3 linked regions of the Struthio camelus genome follow. The protein of the gene in region 1 interacts with the protein of each later gene in a pairwise test. Links are inferred from orthologs where the notes say so. Each region holds a gene or a part of one and is shown on either strand. Other genes may lie near its edges.

Region 1 (6,109 bases):
AGAACTATGCAAGAGCAAGGACCCACAGAAAGGTAAGTATCCTTATTTTGCATCCTTGTGATACATAACTGGCTGAATCACAAATGTGAATAGGGACTGTTCATTCAAAGAGAACATAGTTACTGTTAAGTAACTCCGTTACGGAGATAAGCTAAATAAGGACATGATGAGAACAGGGCAAGTGATTCAAGGATCTGGGCTGTTTATATGAAGGTGAAATCATTATTTTGCATTCTTAAACAGTTCTGTGATGTGCCACTATTCCTGTTCTGCCTCATGATCTCGTTCAGCATTCCTTGCTGCAACAGGGAGATGTTCCAACCTAAGGTCAGTCCTTTACGGAAAGGTGTATGCGGCCAGCGGAGGTGAATCCAAAGGCTGAAAAGTTGATTTCAACTCTTTCCCTACACCTGGGAGACATGGGATTCCAAGCACAAACTCAGACCCATTCCAGAATGAGAGGTTTCTTTAATGACATATAGTTGTTGCAAATATGTCTGTGGAAGCTCTGGAAACAGTTCTTCCTTGTTTTGCATCTATGCTGGGAATGCCATCTCTTTAAAATATTGCCTAGTTAACTTTTGAGATTTAACGCAAAGATGTTACTACATCAGGCAAAAACTACTGTCCTGATAGCTCAACAGTTCTCGAGACCAGCCTAGAGAGGTGAAAACCAGAAAGAATACTTGTCCTCTCCATCCTTTCTGTAGGAATCAAAACTGACAAGATTAAATGAGACAATGAATTAATTAAAGACACATAAAAACAAAAAGCCTAGAAGGGGGCTGAGACATACCACTCAGCTCATGCCCTTGACCAAGGGCAGGAACTTGCAGCACATGTTGTCTAACCTACTTTTAAAGCCTCCTTTGATGAAGTCTCCACACCCCTCCCATACCCATTAGGCAATCAAATGCTTTAGCATCTTTGCCATTAAATATTTTCTTAATGCCTCACCTTCATTTTTCTTGCTGCAGTTTATACTGTTGACATCTTGTCCCCTCCATTACAGGCATGAATAGTAGGTTATTCCCTTTCTCTGGGCAATACCCTTTCATTTTCTCAAAAACAACTTATGTCTTCATATTGTTTATCATGTTTACAGTGATTCAAGGAGCGTAAAAAATCTAACAAAATTTTAAGTTGGAATTTTAAAAGCCAAGCAGAGCAAAGCACAAACAAAAATTTCAAACGAGGTCTAGATTCATCCTGCCAGCTTTAAGTGCCAGTTGCAACCAAATCCCAGATGTCAAGGGCTACAGAGAAACAGAAGTCCTCCAACTGGCATTTTAATGCATCTAAGATGAACTGCTTGCTCTTTGCCGCTGCCTACTCACTAGCTGGGATGTCGGGCAATGAGATTTCTAACAAAGCACATGTTTTGGATTAGGACAAAGTCAAATATAGGTGGGTTTTTTTTTTTTAAAGTTAATTTTAGCACTCCCAAGATGAGATACAATTTTAAATTTAAGCGCTATATAGGAGGTAATGCAAGAACCACTAACACAGAGAGACCACAGTGAGGCTTTAGCTAGAGGACTGAAACATCATTTAAATTTCAGTAAAATTAAAAAAAAAACGAACAGAGGAGCAGAATGTGATTCATGGCCTACATGCCACTAAAAATGCGTTCTTATAAACCAAGGAAAAAAAAGGAAACGACCACGGTACATAAAGCATCTATCTACCTCTTAAGCATCAGACAAAAACCAGGCTCGGGCCGAGCTCGAGCTCGAGCTACAGGCGGGACGCGGGGCGGCAACCGCCAGGCTCGGAGCTGCCGGCCCCGCCGGCGTCCGGGCAGAGGCCCCGCCCCCTCTGACGAGCCGCTCCAGCCAGCCAATCACCTGTGAAAGGCCCTCTAGGGGCGGGGCCTCCTACCACCAATCAGAGGCCCGGCTGCTCACAGCGGGTTGGGTCCTGTCGGCCTCGAGAGCGTCCCGGGGCAGGCGCGGCCTGCGGCACCGGCTTTAGCGCCCTGCGAGGGACCAGGCCAAATTAGGGTGCAGGTGACTCTCCCAGCGCCCGAGGTAAAAATTCACTCCGTTTCTTGACGGGGCTATAGGAGGCGAGAGGCAAGAGGAAGCGAAGAAGGCTTCAGAGACCCTCCCCCCGGGATTTCCCCTTGCGCTCCCTACTCAGGCATTGTTCCGGGCGCCTCGGGTCCTGTGTCACGAGGATGCGTAAAGCGTGGCGGACGGGTCGGATTCAGGGTCATACCGCGCCGGCGCAGCGGCACGGACGGGTCGGCCTGAGGGACACGCCATCGTGCCGCGCTCTGCACCGAGGAAAGAGGGAGGGAAACTCCGGGCCAGAGACAAAGGGGGGGAGCCGAGTGGGGAACATCCGGGTCACTCGCTGCCGCCTCAATCCGGGACACGCGCGGGTGCTGCGGCCGCTCACGGTGAGGCCTGGCCGGGCGAGGGGCCTGGGGCGGCGCGCTGGCGGCCGCGGCTCCGGGGCAGCGGGGCCCGGCCTGGCGCGCCCCGCCCGCGGCACGACGGGCCGGGCGGCCGCGGGGCGCGGGGGCCGGGCGGCTTCTGCGGAGACCGTGCGGTCGGGCCCGCCAGCGCAGCGCAGCGCTGCCCGCCGCCCCGCGGCCGCCGCCGGAGGCCGCGGCCGCCGCGGGCCGAGCGCGGCGAGGAGGGCTGGGCGGCACCGGGCCTGCGCGAGGCGGCCCCCGCCCCGGCGAGCGCTCGCCTGGGTCCCGGCGGGCGCCGAGCTGCCCCGCGCAGGCCTCGGCGCCGCCCCGGCCCCTCCGCCGGGCCCTGCAGGCGGGCGGCCCGCGGCCAGCGCAGGCACCGCTCGGCTCGCCCGGGGCCGGGTGGCGGGCGGCGTTGCTGCGGCGGTCCGGACCGAGGGCTCTCGCCGCGCCGCTCCTTCGGCTGTTCTGCTTGCGGCTCTGGTGGCCGTGTGTGTCGGGATAGTAACCCCTTTTGCCCTTTCCCCTGCCGCAGGAGGCGGTTTTCTCTCCCAGTGCGGCGCTGGTCTGTTTTGATTAAATCACAACCGTGGGCTTTCTCTGCTCTTCTGAAAAGTAAAGGTCTTCAAGTTCTTGGGCAAGCTACTCCAGTTTATAACTTATTCTTGTGCTAGTATTCAACCCACAGAGCGGGAATGTGAGGCCAGGAGTCTTAAGTTTATTTTAGGGTTGTTTGAAATGAGTAGGAACTAGTTCAAGTTCTTGACGTTTAAAGAGCATGCTGTTCATGTATTTAGGGACTTGCCACAGGTCAGAACTCTGTGTGTAGTAGATGTTGCTTTCCCGCAGCAGAACTGTTCTTTGTGAGACTTGCTTTTTACGTTTGGAAATAGATTTTTATTTTATTATCTCCCCTATTGGAGGATATAAGTAGCTATGATCTGTAATGGAACACAGCCGGTTCACTCCTACGATAAATGTTTTGGTTTTATTTTGGTGTGTGTGGTTCTTGTTTTTATTTTTTCCCCGAAAGTGGGTAGTAGTAGCAGCAGCAGCAGAGGCAAACTACAAAATAAGTTTTGAAGCTTCTGTTCGTTTCCTAATGTTTTGATAGCAATAAAAGAGGCATTTCTGCCTTTTAATGCGGTGGGGGGGGAGGGGGAAAGAAGGAGGGGAGTAGAGTGGAGTGGAGTGCAAAACCAAATGGAACGTGGAGATGGACCTCTTGTGCTTGCATGGCCCCTGCAAGATAAGGTTTATATATTTTTCCAGGGCAGAAGAATGTGTTCTTTCCAGTGATGCATCCCTTTAATGTGTTCTGACCTCAGTTCTGTTCCATAGCAATAAATTTCTCAAGTGGAGGAAATAAATCAGATGTGTTAGTGGGTTTTTTTTGGTTTCATTTGGTTTTTGGTTTTAATAAGAGCTGTTTTTTCAGGTTTTAACTATTTCAAGTTAATAGTAACATCTTGCATTTGCTAGAAATTGCAAGAGCTAAACGTTAAACTTAGGCATTTGGACAAAATGCTACTGGGAAACTACTACTGCAAATTAAAAATGCATAAATTGTGGAGGAAGATAAACATAGCAGTGAGGATATGAGTTCTTCAGTTTTATTTCTGAAGATCTAGTTTACCTACTATAATATCTCACTCTTTCCTGCTACTTAGTTACTTTTGAGACCAAAATATATATTTAGATGACCAATCTGTGCTTAGCGTATCTCAAGCTCCTGCGGAGCAGCAGTTTGATCAAGATGTCTCGATTCCTCTACTGAAGAGCTGCTAGACAGTGTATGTTAGAAATTTGTTAATAGATTGATTCCCTTTTGAGCAGATTCTAATGGGATCTTCATTCTAAACTGAGCTTTCAGTCTCAGTTGCACATCTACTTTGTTTGTGACAAGAGATGAGTGGTGGGGTTTTTTGTTTTTTGTTTTTTTTTGGATACTTGTCTGTTCTTGCAAGGGTACTGAAGCCTCTGAGCCTCATGAAGAGGTTCACCAGGCGCTGACCCATGCCATGTAAATATGTAAGATATTTAGATGCTCTGAAAAAGAAAGTGACAAGCTCCGGAACTGACAATTCTCCTTTTCCACATCCTTTTATGCTGGATGCTCCTTACGATCTTAGAGTCATGCAGGAGCCACAAAACTCAAAGTGAGTCCCCAGGAGTACAGGAAAATTACTCTCCCAAGACAGTTCTTGATTTACTTTAAAATATGAAAAGAGAAGGGAGAACTTAATGTGGTGTTTACTTGCATAGTAATAAGTGTGTAGCACTCACTGCCTGAAGATACCAATTTTAGTTACTTCAGCGTCCCTGGACCCTTCTAAGACATTGTAACAACAGTCTTGCAGAAGAGAGGCTAGAGGTAGGCACAAATATCAGAGGTCAAGTCCAGCTGTGGTTGAACTTTTTCCCAGTTGTATTCAGTAAAACTTAATCAGCAGTTCAGGTTTGACTGGGGGGGGGGGGAGGGGGGGGCAGGATCGACAAAGGTTCGAACTTGCAATAAAACCACTAACTATATATTGTAATAGATCAAAAATTTTAAGTATGTATTACTAACAACTAAATCTAATATAAATGACTTTCTTTCTAGTTGTTTACCTGTCTCTCTGATTTGATATGGATAAAGTAAATATTAAAACCCTGGGAAGTATCAGTGTTTATCAGTGGTTTTTTTTTTTTCGTTGCAAGGTCTTTGGTATTCAGGGTACTGGAATAGCAAAGACTAGTAGACTACACTTCTTTATCAAGCTTCTCAATATATCCTAGTTAATCACATTTGGCTCATTAATGAACTACAGTGTTATGTGAAATTCACATTCAGACACTGAAGTACTCAATTTTTTTACCCAAGCAGCAGAGTTGCTGCTAATTAAATACTGAGCTATTAAGTCACAGATTCCACTTAACTGTGAAATAATGAAAATCAGCCTAATATTTTCTTCATTTAAAATATACTAATTGGGAAAACATCTTTTTGGCTCATAAATCATTTTGTCAAAGTGGTTTTGGAGCCAAACTGTCTCTTAGTATTACCCTTAACTCTTTGGCTAGGCTGTAGAATAGCTGAGAGCTTTGAACTATTTTTACACGCTGTTATCTTTCCCCCTCCCCCTTGCATAAAATATATTATCCTCAGAACTTAAATAATGGCACTTAATTTTGTGCTGTGAGGAGGGAAGAGCAAGAAATTGTCATTTGAACTAAGGGAACGGAAGGCAGACATTGGGAAGACAAATGTACTACACTTGGGAAGGAAGTGGTACGTGGTCCCTCTTCAAAGCTTGATTTAACGTCTTGAGGTGCAAATCAGTTAAAAGATTAGACTTAATCTTTTTGGTCATAACACAGTGTGTGTATATACACTGAAAAATAGTTCTGAATGTAATCTGATCAGTGGTTAATTAAGTCAAATGCCTCAATATTTGAAGCAGTCTTTATAGAACAGAAGAAAGTCTTAAGTTTACTAGGCTGCCATATAGTGCATAACTAGTGGCAAAAGCTAGCAGCTTACAAAAAGTAACCTAAAACAAGTCAGAACTGGAGCTTGAAAATTCATCATTTTCTTCTGTTGAAAATGTATTTAATTAGTGATGTTCTGAAGGACTTGTGTAGTTTATAGGCCCTCTGAGAAGCCAGTGTTTCCCTTGAGATATACATAATTGCCTGTTAACC
Region 2 (6,109 bases), on another chromosome or scaffold:
AAAGCTCAATCGTTTTCCGGCTGGTGCTAGCCACGAAACTACCAGACTGCCGAGACCTCAATAATTTGCTGCTTGAACGAGTCGCGAGGAACTTTTACATAGAGCTGACAGACCGAGAGACTAACGGTTCATGTGGTTGGGGCAAAGAGCAGCTATAAGGTCATTTCTGCCCTGAAAGACAGAGTGAAACTAGGCGGTTTTCTCCCCCACAGCACTCAGCTATGCTATACAGCACACCGGAAAGATGATGCGCCTTTCCCACCTGGCCCCGGCTCATTTAATCGCGTGTCATTTCCCAGCTCTCTTTGAGGCCGGCTAACCCCCGCCACGAGGCCACAAACGGGGGTGAAACCCGGTTCCCACCAGCCTGCGCAGCGGCGTTTCGAGCTGCGCGGGTCACCGCGGCTTTCTGACCGCAGCTTTTTGGGACAAATGTCTCGGTTCGCTCTGAAGTGAACACGAGCAAGCAGCCGCTCCTGGAGGGCAGCGGGGCTGAGGGCTGGCAGGAGGGGTAAACACCCAGCGCGCGGCCGCCACGGATGCTGCTGGAGCTGCGTTTTGTCCTCTCCCGTGCAGAAACATCCTCTCTCGAGCAGAAACGCTGAGCGGAGAGGAGCGGGCGGAGGTCCACTGGCGAACCGCAGGAGAGCGGCTTCCTCGGTCGCGGCCACGCAAGGACCCGGCATGGACAACTCCTCCCAGTGGCACGTGCCCTTTAACGCCACCAAGTATTTCCTCGTCCCCATCTACAGCCTCGTGCTGGTGGCCGGTCTGCCCCTCAACGCCCTGGCCTTCTGGGCCCTGCTGTGCCAGGCCAACGCGTCGGCGCTCTCCGCCTACTTGCTGAACGCGATGGCGGCCAACCTGCTGCAGCTTCTGACGCTGCCCTTCTGGATCCACTACAGCCAGCGGGACCACGCTTGGCCCTGGGGCAGCGCCGCCTGCACAGGGGTGGGCCTGGCCTTCCTCGCTGCCCTCTACGCCAAGAACAGCTTCCTCTGCCTCATTGCCGTGGCGCGCTACCTGGGGCTGGCGCATCCCCTGCGCTTCCGCGGGCTGCAGGCGGCCCGCAGCGCGGCCGGGGTGAGCGCTGCCTCGTGGGCGCTGGTGGTCACCGTGTGCCTGGTGGGCGGCGTCCTCCAGCCCTCGGAGATGCTGAAACCTCACCTCTGCTACGAGCAGCTGTGCCCGAGGGAAAAGGGCTACGCCTTGTTCAGGACCACCGCCGCGGCCCTCTCCTTCTTCCTGCCCTGCTTCTTCATGACTTTCTTCTACCTCCGCGGCCTGGGGAAGCTCAAGGAGATGACCAGCCTGGATGGGAAAGCCAAGCGGAAGATCGCCCGGTCCATCGCTTGCATGATTGCCGCCTTCTACCTGCTCCAGGTCCCTTACCAGGCCACCTCCTACTCCAGGTTCGTGGCGCAGCTGCTGTCGGAGGACACCTGCCCCTTCCAGAGCCGCCTCTTCCTCTACGACCGCCTGGCGCTGTGCCTCACCGCCCTCAGCGACGTGGCCGACCCCCTCCTCTACGTCCTGCTCCTCGGCGACGCGCGGGAGGAGCTGGGGAAGCGCCTGGCTGGCCGGGGCAGAGCCCCTCACCGCCGGCCGATGGTGTCCGGCACGGCCCGGCCGGACGCGGCCCAACCGGCGTGCACCGCGCTGTGACCCCCCCCCCCCAACCGCCCAGCCCCCAAACCTCCATCCCGGCCGCCGCCATCTCCGCTTCGGGAAGAGCATCCGGGACGGAGCGAGCCCCGGGATCAGGGCTGGCGGCAGGGCCGGGGGGGGGGGGGGAACACGACCAGGCCCCGTGAGGCGGCAGTTGGGGGGGGGGGGGCTCAAACAAGCCTCGTTTTTTGGGGCCGTTCCCCACTTTTCCTCACCGCATCAAGCGATTTTTGTTTTTTTTCCAAACGTTCCCCCCCCCCCAAAAAAAAAAAACCCATTTTCCTGCCTCCGGGATGACGACGACGACGCGGTCTCGTCCCCCCCCCCCCCCCCGCCCTCACACCCCGGCAGCGCCCCTCTCCTGTCAGGGTGGCCCCGCCCCCAGGCTGCCGGTAACGGTGCCCGAGCTTTCAAACCAGCCTATCAGCGTGCAGCGTTGAGGTGGCCGGGAGATTGACAGGAGGATGGAACAATAGCCTGCCGGCACCGCGCCCCGCCTCAGCCAATCGTCGTCGAGGACGGTGCCGAAGCTCCCGCCCTCCCTCTCCTGGCCCTTGCGTCATTGTCTTCTGGCCAATAGGAAATCGCCGGCGCGGAGTGTCGGGGCGGGGGGGGAGCCGTGGGAGAGCACAAGGCGCACGCGCAGAACGGCTCGGTTTCAGCGCTCGGGCTACGCCCCCCTCTGCCCCCGGTCTATGGCAGCCCCGCCTAGGGGCGGGGAGCGCCGGCGCCGCTCCCACGTTTATAGGCGGAAAGGGGTAAACGAACAGCACTCTCGACCAATCAGAACAGACACCGGCCTCGCGCCTTGGAGTGACAAGCAGGCTCGCCAATCGCCTCCTCCTCCCGCCTCCCGCGCTGCCGCGCGTTGGCCCGCCCTCTCCCCTCTGTCATTGGCTGGTCCGCGGACGGGCACCCCGCTCAGCGAATCGCGGCGCGCAGCGCCTCCCCTGCCGTCCAACGGCGGCGCGGCGGGGGGGGTTGGGCTGGCTTTCGTCCGGGCCGAGCAGCGCAGAGGGCGGCGTGGGCGCCATTTTGTGAGCAGCCTCAAGCGGGGAGGCGGCGGCGAGGAGGAAGCAGAAGCGGGCAGCGTGCGCCGGAGCGAGCGGTGAGTGGCCGCCGTTTCCCCGCTCCCGGGGTGGGGCGGGGGGGGCGGGGGGGGCTGGGCCGCAGCCAAGGGAGCCGGCGGCGCCGGTTTAGTTAACGGCGTCACACCGCCCCCCCTCTCCACCGCCTCAGCGCGAACCAGCCGTTGTTCCCCCCCCCACACACACCCTTCCCATCGCCGTGATGGTGGGAGGGGGGGCGGTTAACGGCTGCCTTGAGGAGGAGGAGGAAGGGGGGGGAGGGGGATGATGGCGGCGCGTCCCACAGCGCCGTATGTGTGTGTGGGGGGAGGGGGAGCCGTTGGCCGGGCGCGACCACGGCGAGAGCCGGGGAGGGGGGGGGGGAGGAGGGGAAGCGGAGAACGGAGCGGCGCCTCCTTGTGGGCGATACCATTCTGCGGTGGAGGGGGGGGGAACGCGCTGCGTAAACAGCCCTTGTGGGAAGGGGCCGGGAGGAGGGGGCGTGGCCAAGCCGGGAGGAGGGGGCGTGGCCAAGCCAGGTGAAAGCCGCCAGCCCGAGGAGGGGGCGTGGTCAAGCCAGGTGAAAGCGGCTAGCGCCCCGAGGGGGCGTGGCCATCCTGGAGTGGGCGTGGCCAGCCCGCTGAGCAGAGTCAGACGGGATTGGGGTAAGGGGGCGTGGCCATCCCAGGAGGGGGCGTGGCCACACTCCACGTGGCGCTGGCCCTGTTGAAGCCCCAAAGCTGCCGGGGTTGTTGGGGGGGGGGGGGGGGGAAGGAGGAGGTAACAGGACGTCGCTGCCCGAAGATTTGGGTGGAAAACAGGCCGCTTTTGGGGCTGGATTTCTCCCTCCCCCCCTTTTTCCCCTTACCCCCCTTAAAAAAAACAAAATAAATACAAACTGCTTTTCTGCATTTCTCGCCTTCCTGTCTCTCGAGCCGTAGCCCGAGGCAGTCGCCGCCTGTCGTAGCCCCTTCCCGCCCTCCCGGGCCGGATCACACGCGAGCGGGTGTATGTAGCACTGTATTTCTCTTCCAGGCTAAAGGCTCCTCTCTGCCATCATCATCATCACGATACTCACTCGCCAGCTTTTCTGGTTCCTTCCGAGATTGTAACTTTATTCCCCCCCCCCTTCCCCCTCTTGTCGTTTTGCTGGTAATAACCTGCTTCTGCAGTATCTGGCAGGGTTTAAAAAGCGGGGGGGAAAAAAAAAAGCAAACAAACCAAAAAAAAAAACACCCAAAAGACTTTCTTCTGGCCTCTGCTGTGACTCAGATCCCCGAGGTTGCTTGAGCTCCAGTGACCTGGCTTGTAGATCCCTCTTCGCATCCTCTTTCAGGATCCGATGTGTCGTGTGTTCGCTCGGTTCTCCCGTCTCCTCCTTGCCTCAGGGTTATGCGTGTGAGCCTGATGCATCGCCCTGTACGAATCCGCCCTCCGCCACAAGCTCACAGGTGTCTGACGTCCGAGCTGCTCCCTCGGAGACGGGAGAAGCAGAAGGGATTAGAGCGGAGACGGTTTTAAGAGCGTTAGCTGGAAGCGAGGACAGCTGTGAGCTTGGGGCCGTTGGGAGGCCGGCCGATCTCTCTTGGGGGGAGCGGGAGAGGCGGGCAGCGTTGCTGAGGAACCCTGACTCAATCTGTCCCTTCTCCTTTCACAGGGCAGCGAGGCGAAACCCCATCCCTCCTCACTGGAGCTCAGCTTCGTATTAACTCCCCTCCCCACACACGCACACCTCCCGATTTTATAGAGCCATTTTAACGGTGCCCCTGCGGCCTCTTGCTCCCCGCGCCACACTGGAGCTGGATTTAAGATGTAATTTTGAGAGTCAACCTGTATTTTTTTTGCAGCAGCTGGGTTAGAGGAGGAGCCTTTTAGCCCCTCATGAGCTGACCTCTCTCGGGTATTTTTAGAGTGAAGTGATGGTGTGCAAAGGGCTTTGATGGTCTCCTGCCGAGAGCTCTCCCCGCGCGGTCCTCTGGCAACCGCGGCTGGAACAGAGCGTGAGAGAGAGGGAGAGAACAGAAATGATCGTTGCTGACTTGACCTTTCGGCACCTCCCGTTTTTCTAATCTGGGCTATTTTTATTTTTGTTTTTTTACAGCGAGATTTTTTTGATCTTCAGCTACAGTAAGTTATTCAAAATTTTTTTCATTTTTCCTGCCTTTCCACTGATTTCCTTTTTATTGTTGTTGCTAGTTACTATTACTATTATACTACTATAATGCTGATGACTTTACTATGATGATATGTTGCTGATGGTGATGATAATGACACTGCTGATTTTTAACCGGATGAAATCGAGTTTTTCTGAGTGTTCCTGACTGAGCTGGGTTTTTACCCTTTGTGAGACACAGCGAGGTTTTTAAAATTTTTAAGTGGATTGATCACGTTAACTCTTTCCCCCCCCTCCCCCGACTGCTGAGAGTGGGACCCGGTTTCTCCTGAACTGTTTTAGAGCGTCTCTGGAAGTCTGTATTTTTATTTTTTTTTATTTTTTTTATTTTTTTTTATTTTTTTAATTTTTACTCTTTCGTTTGTGCCATTTTTAAACTGTTGCTGCCATATGATGTCTGTGGTGCTGGTCGCCTGCGGCGGCGACGGCCCTTTCCCCCCCGAACGGCCCCTCCCTCCTCCTCCTGTCCCCCTTTTTCCTCCCCTCCTCCCCGAAACCCCTCGTCCTGCTCTCTTCCTCTACGCCGTCCTTCCCTCAAAACAACCCACCGCGATGCCACGGACGCCCGGCCTGGAGCGACGGCAGCCGGCGGAGCCAGCCGCGGAGCAGATAAACCCCTCCCGGGCCATGGTAAGAGGTGCGAGGGCCAGTAGGTTTCCTTGCGAGCTTCGGCCGCCAGAGCTAAAGGTCCTGGCACGGAAGAGGCGCCGCCGCCGGGACTTGCTTAGCGCGAGAGGCCCGGTCAGGGTCAGCCCGCCGCCGGGACGCCCGCTCGGCTCGGCGCGGCCCCGCAGGCTCCCGGCGATTCGGCTCGGCTCCTGAGCGAGGATTTAAAAAAAAAAACCCGCGGGGTCGCGCGGCGGCCGCCGCTGCCTCCGGCGTCGCGAGAAGAGCGGAGGAAGGAACGCGGTCCGACGCGGAGCCCCGAAGACCTCGCAGACGGCCCCGCCGCTGCCGTAACGGCCTCCTGCCAAGGCGCCCGGCGTCCTGCGAGCCGACCCGCGCGGCCGCCCGTCCGGAGACGGCGCGGGGCCAGAGCGCGCCGGGGACGAAGCGAAGTTACCGACGGCGCCCTCCGCTCACGGGAGGGCAGGTCGTTCCCGGCTGGTGCTTGTGGCAAAGGCGGCTGGGAAAACACGCGGAAGAAAACCTCCACGGAAACCCCTCGCGAAGAAACCCTCGGCGGCCGCGCCGAGCCGCT
Region 3 (6,109 bases), on another chromosome or scaffold:
TAGTCAAAGCAAAAAAGACAGAGGGAGAGAGAGACAGAGAGAATACCTGACCTGAACAGTTATATGAGCAGAACATAAACCCTGCTTCAAACAATATTCCAGGAAAGAAATTAAAGACTTCTTAATTAGTGCAGCAATTAAGCTTTCTTGGTCGCATTTTAATCAGCCCAGGCCCTATCAAAGGACAAACAGAGCGATTTGCAGGTCTTTGAATTTTAAACAGTCTTATTGATTTCAGCACCATAAGTCTTCACTTGACACAGGGAGAATTTTCAAATATCAGTTACAGTAATTTGAGTTTTGCAGATATCAACTCTGGGATAAAAAAGGAAAGCACCTAACAATATCATGACATGAAGGGATGAGCGAGTGACAGGAATGCAACGTAGAAAAAGTTTACAAAGAGCATTCTCAGGATTTGTTGGTGTATTTATGCGAGCGTGTGTGTGTGTGCACAAGCTAAAATAAATCCAGTCGCTTGCCATAATCGTTAGAAACACTTACCAAGCAAGAAGCTTTGGGGAGTCTTGAAGTCTTTCATAAATCTCTTTCTTTCTCCATTCTAATCCCATTGTTTCATTAAACGAGAAAGGTTAACCCAAACCTGTGGCAGTAAACCCTTTCAAACTGCATTTTCTTTAAATGGTTTTGAACCGTGATGATTATATATCCACAAAGACACAAGAAAAGCAGGAGGACTGGTGTGCATCACGTTGTAAGGAAGGTAGGGTGCAGATGAAGTAGTAGGCTTCCTAATTAAGAGTTCACTCAGTACTCCAAGTGGCAATACCACGCGTGTCTGGCTCTGTCTTAATCTTCTCAAAGGTCTGTTTTATATCTTTAGAACGTGTAAGAGAAAGGGAGACAGAAAAGGGCAGTTGAGGCAAAGCGACAATGAACAGAGCTGGTTTTCTACAACTGAAAATAGGAGGATGCAATACATATACATTTTTCAGTGTATTCCAAGTTTTATGTCAACACTACATCCTCCCACTATAATTTAAAGTTTTATAAGCTCCTCCAGACAAACGTTCCGTAAAAGTGTTCTGTACTATTATGGGTCCACGAGATTTCAAAACAAAGTGTCACTCTGTGTTTTCTTGTTTTTATTTGTCCATTCTGAAGATTTTAGTGTAGGAAATCTAAAACTTTACGAGCAAAAGACATCTTTGTGGTATTAAAACATGTTTTTCTGGTATTAAAATATAAATGTTCTCAGATATAAGAAAACAAGTTAAAGTACAGTGAGCACATAGATATATGAGAATGCTTTATATCTGATAAAGTGGAAATTCCCCCCGCACAGAATTACAATAGTTGAAATTATCCACTGTGTAGATGTGTCATCCCATGAGTCATATCTCATATAATAGTACACATTAAAAAAAAAAAAAAGGAAGCTCAGGGCACATACATGCATCACAATTACTTAAGTACATGATTTATGTTTTTAAAACCGAAAGAGCTGTGTACACCCGACCCTCTGCTTTTGCAGACGGTCCATCTCTATGAATGACTGTTTCTTTGCCCCTACGAAAAACTGAAGTGCCCTGAAGAAAAAAAAAAAGAGCAAAACAAAGCTCTCTACTTCCCTGAACGACCCCTACCATCCCACCTACCGGGGCTATCAAACATGCCCGACTCCAAGCGAAAACTCCGTCCCAAACTTCGGGGGCGGCCAGGTATGGCAGCACGCACGGGCCTGGCCAGCACGGGCAGGCAGGAGGCACACCGCCCATCCGCCACTGCGCATGTGTGGGCAAGCGCAGCAGCTCACTTTGCGCGCTAGCGGGCGGCCGGGCTGCGCGGCGCGGTCACCTGTTGCGGGCAGCGGCGCGGGAGCCGTCGTCCCTCCGCGGCCGCCCGCCTGCCGCGTTTTTAAGTTTACTTGAGCAAAACGCCGCCGGGCTCAGGCGTTTTCGCCTAGTCCCGCCGGGCCTTGGTTTTTGCACGCTTTTTTTTTTTTTTTTGGGGGGGGGGGGGAGGAGCCGCCTCGGTCCCTGCCGCGGCTCCGCGCTCCCCTTCCGCGGGGGAAGAGGGCACCGCCGCCCCCTCCGCCGGCAGTGAAAGCCATGCGGTGGCTGGACGGCGTGTAGCGGGGCGGGCTGTGCCCTTTGATCCGGCCGCTTTCAGGAAGTGCCCTGCAGCTGTGGCCGTGTTGGGGCTTCCGTGCGCGGGGCTCTGCGCCCCGCGCAGCCACCGCCGCGCCCCCCGCCGCTCCACAAAAGGTGCTCGGCGCTGCGCGGCGCGCATCCCTCCGCACCCTCAGCAGCCACTCCCGCTCCGCTAGGAGGAGCGTTTGCGGTCTCCGGAGTGAAAATAATAATAGTAATAGTCCTAATAATAATAATAATAATAATAATAGGGAGGTTTCTGCTTTTGTGCCTGTGCCCCGGCGCGGGGCAGGCTGCGCGGCCGCCCGCAGCGCCGTCTGCCCTCGTCCCGCGCCGGGAGAGCCCCGCTCCCTGCGGGCTTCAGGAGAAGCTTGAAACGCTCGTGTTTCTCCACAAACTGTGTTGACAAGCGATTGCTGAAAAGGGCTGGGAAAATTACATCTCGTCTCTGGTGGGGTGAAATATGAAACATGTAATCTAACGGTTCCTGAAGAGGAGGAGAGGGGGGAGGAAGAGGGACTTCTCTCCCTCTCTCTGTTTCCCTGCTCCGGGTTCCTGGTTGGATAATTTGGGTTAATACTAGTGAGTGAGCCTTTTGCTGCTTCAAAGGGTATTTCAAGTTGCCGGAGCTCCTCCCCTCCGCACCGTGTGACAACAACAACTCGTCCAGAGAGCGAGCGAGCGGCGAGCGGCGGCGGCAGCCAGCACTTCCCAGCTCATTTTCTCTCTGTCATTCCCCTCTCAATCTTTGATCAATGTACTTGCCAGAGAGAACCGAAGTCCTTCAAACCTCCTCCTTTTCACCTTCGTCTTTAACGTGGTGCTAGAGCAAGGACCACAAAAAGAAACTGCCCTCCCCCTCCCCTCGGCCCCAGCCCCGCCGCCCGGAGCGGACTTCTCCTCCTCCTCCTCCTCCTCCTCCTCCGTCCCCACTTGCGGGACACTTTGTGCGTTTCTCTCTCTCACTCTGCCCCCTGCTCTCTCGCTCGCCGCAGCACCTGATCCGGGGTTATTCCCCCCTTCTTCTCCCCCCCTCCTCCCTTCTCCTCTCCTCTCCCCCCTTTTTTTTTTAATATATATTTCTTTTAATTTCCCCCCTTTCCCCTGCGTGTGTGTGTGGGAACTTTCCCCCCTCCCCCTGCCCCCCTCCGCCGTATATGTGACCATGGCCGTACCGGCTGCTTTGATCCCTCCGACCCAGCTGGTCCCCCCTCAGCCTCCGGTCTCAACTTCTGCCGCCTGCACCACCACCACCACCACCTCCTCCTCGTCGGCCACCTCCTCTCCGTCTCCGTCCATCGCTCCCCCGCCGGCCGCCTCGGGGACAAACCTATTCCGGCCGGAGCCCATCGCAGCGGCGGCGGCGGCGGCGGCGGCAGCGGCGGCAGCGGCGGCCACAGTCACCTCCACCACCAGCGGCAGCGGCAGCGGCGGCGGCAGCGGCGGCGGCGGCGGCGGCAGCCCCAGCCTGGGCACCGGCGGCGGCGGCGGCGGCGGCGGCAGCAGCGGCGGCGGCGGCGGCGGCAGCGGCACCTCCACTCCCAATGCCAGCGCGGCCAGCGCGGCCGGCAGCCTGCCGGGCAAGCCGGTGTACTCGACCCCGTCCCCGGTGGAGAACACCCCCCAGAATAACGAGTGCAAGATGGTGGATCTGAGGGGGGCCAAAGTGGCCTCCTTCACCGTGGAGGGCTGCGAGCTCATCTGCCTGCCCCAGGCTTTCGACCTCTTCCTGAAGCACTTGGTGGGGGGCTTGCACACGGTCTACACCAAGCTGAAGCGGCTGGAGATCACGCCCGTGGTGTGCAACGTGGAGCAGGTCCGCATCCTGAGGGGGCTGGGGGCCATCCAGCCCGGGGTCAACCGCTGCAAACTCATCTCCAGGAAGGATTTCGAGACCCTCTACAACGACTGCACCAACGCCAGGTAAGCGCCGCCAGCGCTCGCACGCCCCACGCGGGGCCCCGCCGCCCCCCTCCCCGCCGCCGCCGTCCCTCCCCGCGCCGCGCCGCTTCCCACGGCCGCCGAGCCGGCCCGGGCCGGGGGTGAGGGGCGCCCGGCCGGCTCCCCTGCGGCCACATGCGCTCGCCCCCTCCTCCCCTCCGTGCCTGGCACCCGACCAGCCTGCCGAGCAGCCGGCTGAGTTCCTCCTCGCTGGGACAGGGAGAGAAAGGAGAAAGGGTGTTTCTGCCCCGCTGGCCCCCTCCGCTCGTGCCGTGTGCCGTTGTCGCACTGTCATTGTGCCCTTCTGGCCGCGCTCGGCCGAGGGCTGCCGGGGGCCCGGGGCAGGGCGTGCGGGCCGGGGAGTGGAGGTGTGTGTGTGTGGGGAGGGGGAGCAGCAGGGACAGAAAGTGCTTTCTGACCTCCGCCGTCCTTAGCTTTACACGTGGATGTATCTGTAAAACGGACAGCCCTGGGAAAAAGCTGTCCGAGGGGTGTTCAGGAGTGGGCGGGGAGCGGCCCTGGGTGTGCGGGGGGGGGGGGCGGTGGGGAAGGCACCGTGGGTTTCGCGTAAATCGGACGAGGCGTTGAATCGCCTTCCGGGGCACTTCCCCAGCCGAGGGCCCTATCCCGGGGTGCATGGAGGCCACTTCGCCATCAGCTGCTGTCATATATCCGAAGGGGCACGTGCACTTTTTGTATAGGTCTATGAGGCAGTTGCCACATGGCGAGCGCGGAGGGGGAGGAGGGAGGGAGGGAGGCAGGAGGTGGAGGAGGAGGAGGAGGAGGAGGGCGGGAAGACGGAGGAGGAGGTGGTGTCGGCTGATTTTTTTTTCTTTTTTTTTCTCTTTTTTTTTTTTTTTTGCCGTGGGGTAGCGGGGAGAGGTGCCAGGCGGCCGGGCTGGCCCGTTCCCCCGCCGGCAGGGCCGTCCCCGAGGAGCAGGTGTGAGCAGCGCCCTGCCCCGGCCGGCCGCCGGGGAAGCGGCAGCGCTGAATCACGCCGGGGCGCGCAGCCCGCCCACGGTTACGCGCGCGCGGCGGCCGCGCAGCTCCGCAGCCCGGGGACGGGGCGCGCACATGCCCCCTCCCCCGCCCCCACGCGAAAGAGAGCAAGTGAAAGCCCACCCTTGCCGCAGCCGGGGTGGGTAGGTGGGGGGTGGAAGCAGAGAAAGTCCCGCTGCAACCGCAGCCAGCTGCAAAACTGCGGGCCGAAGAGCGGGGGGGGGGGGGGTAACCCCCAATCTGTAGGTTACGGGGCCAAATCTGTCCGATAAGGAAAAGGGATCAAATAACTGCCGTGACTTGGAGATCAGAGCGCTGGGGAGTGTCTCCAGTGCACCGGGGCTCCCCAGTGGTTGGGGTTAGTGTGTGTGTTGGCGGGGGGGGGGGTAGTTTGCAGCGCTGAGGGTGGTGGGAACTTCACCCGGTAGCTAGCGAAGGTTTGCCACTAAGGAGACTTAGCCCAAGTCCCGTCTTCGGATGCTGCTTTCAAATAAACGCAAACAAGCAGATCGGGCTCGTTTCACTTTTCCATTGTCACATTTCGAGGTGCAGCAACAGCCAGCACGTGGAGCATTAGCCCCGTGCGAGACCGCGCTCGTCGCCTCTGGTCGCGCCCGGCTGTGACATTCCCTCCTTCCCCCCGTACCGGTGTAGCCGAGGGTGCTCGGGGCTCACTAGCAGAGAGCCAGGCAAAGCAAAACACTTCTTGTGCACCACCTCCTGCTAGATTGATTAGCGAAGTTCTTGAATATTCAGGGCAGCAGGGACAGAACAGCCTGGAATAACTTCCAAGCACTGACATACTGTAACTACTTGGGTAACTATATTGTTTCATGTCGAATCGACATAAATTTTAATAGATGCTTTTAGACGATTGTTTTCATGCAGCATGTTAAGTTGTAACATCTCTGTAGGAGTCCCAAGATTTGGTCCTTAAAATAAAGCCCGTATAAATCTTGCTTTGCCAATTATATGAATTATGGTTTGAAACGTGAACAATTAAAGAATACAGCGGGGTTTTTTTGAATGGGGGAGGGCGACACCAATTCCTGGAC

The links.
Region 2: the proteins of UBE2I (region 1) and HNRNPC interact in a two-hybrid assay, tested with the Homo sapiens proteins (2 studies listed by BioGRID and IntAct). The two-hybrid records come from large-scale screens. The link is inferred for Struthio camelus from reciprocal best matches to the Homo sapiens genes UBE2I and HNRNPC.
Region 3: the proteins of UBE2I (region 1) and DACH1 interact in a two-hybrid assay, tested with the Homo sapiens proteins (2 studies listed by BioGRID and IntAct). The link is inferred for Struthio camelus from reciprocal best matches to the Homo sapiens genes UBE2I and DACH1.

Annotation. Positions count from the first base shown.
Region 1 is NC_090956.1:242,211-248,319, reverse strand, and holds the start of UBE2I (SUMO-conjugating enzyme UBC9), read left to right. Parts: upstream 1-1,869; 5' UTR 1,870-2,030; exon of another isoform or gene 2,031-2,404; intron 2,405-6,109. UniProt on the Homo sapiens protein: Accepts the ubiquitin-like proteins SUMO1, SUMO2, SUMO3, SUMO4 and SUMO1P1/SUMO5 from the UBLE1A-UBLE1B E1 complex and catalyzes their covalent attachment to other proteins with the help of an E3 ligase such as RANBP2, CBX4 and ZNF451.
Region 2 is NC_090970.1:26,709-32,817, reverse strand, and holds the start of HNRNPC (heterogeneous nuclear ribonucleoproteins C1/C2), read left to right. Parts: upstream 1-2,312; 5' UTR 2,313-2,776; intron 2,777-4,392; exon of another isoform or gene 4,393-4,547; intron 4,548-4,836; 5' UTR 4,837-4,862; exon of another isoform or gene 4,863-5,545; intron 5,546-6,109. Other genes in the region: G-protein coupled receptor 4-like, read left to right, coding at 685-1,665. UniProt on the Homo sapiens protein: Binds pre-mRNA and nucleates the assembly of 40S hnRNP particles. Interacts with poly-U tracts in the 3'-UTR or 5'-UTR of mRNA and modulates the stability and the level of translation of bound mRNA molecules. Single HNRNPC tetramers bind 230-240 nucleotides.
Region 3 is NC_090942.1:179,041,526-179,047,634, forward strand, and holds the start of DACH1 (dachshund homolog 1), read left to right. Parts: upstream 1-2,152; 5' UTR 2,153-3,279; coding exon 3,280-4,037; intron 4,038-6,109. UniProt on the Homo sapiens protein: Transcription factor that is involved in regulation of organogenesis. Seems to be a regulator of SIX1, SIX6 and probably SIX5.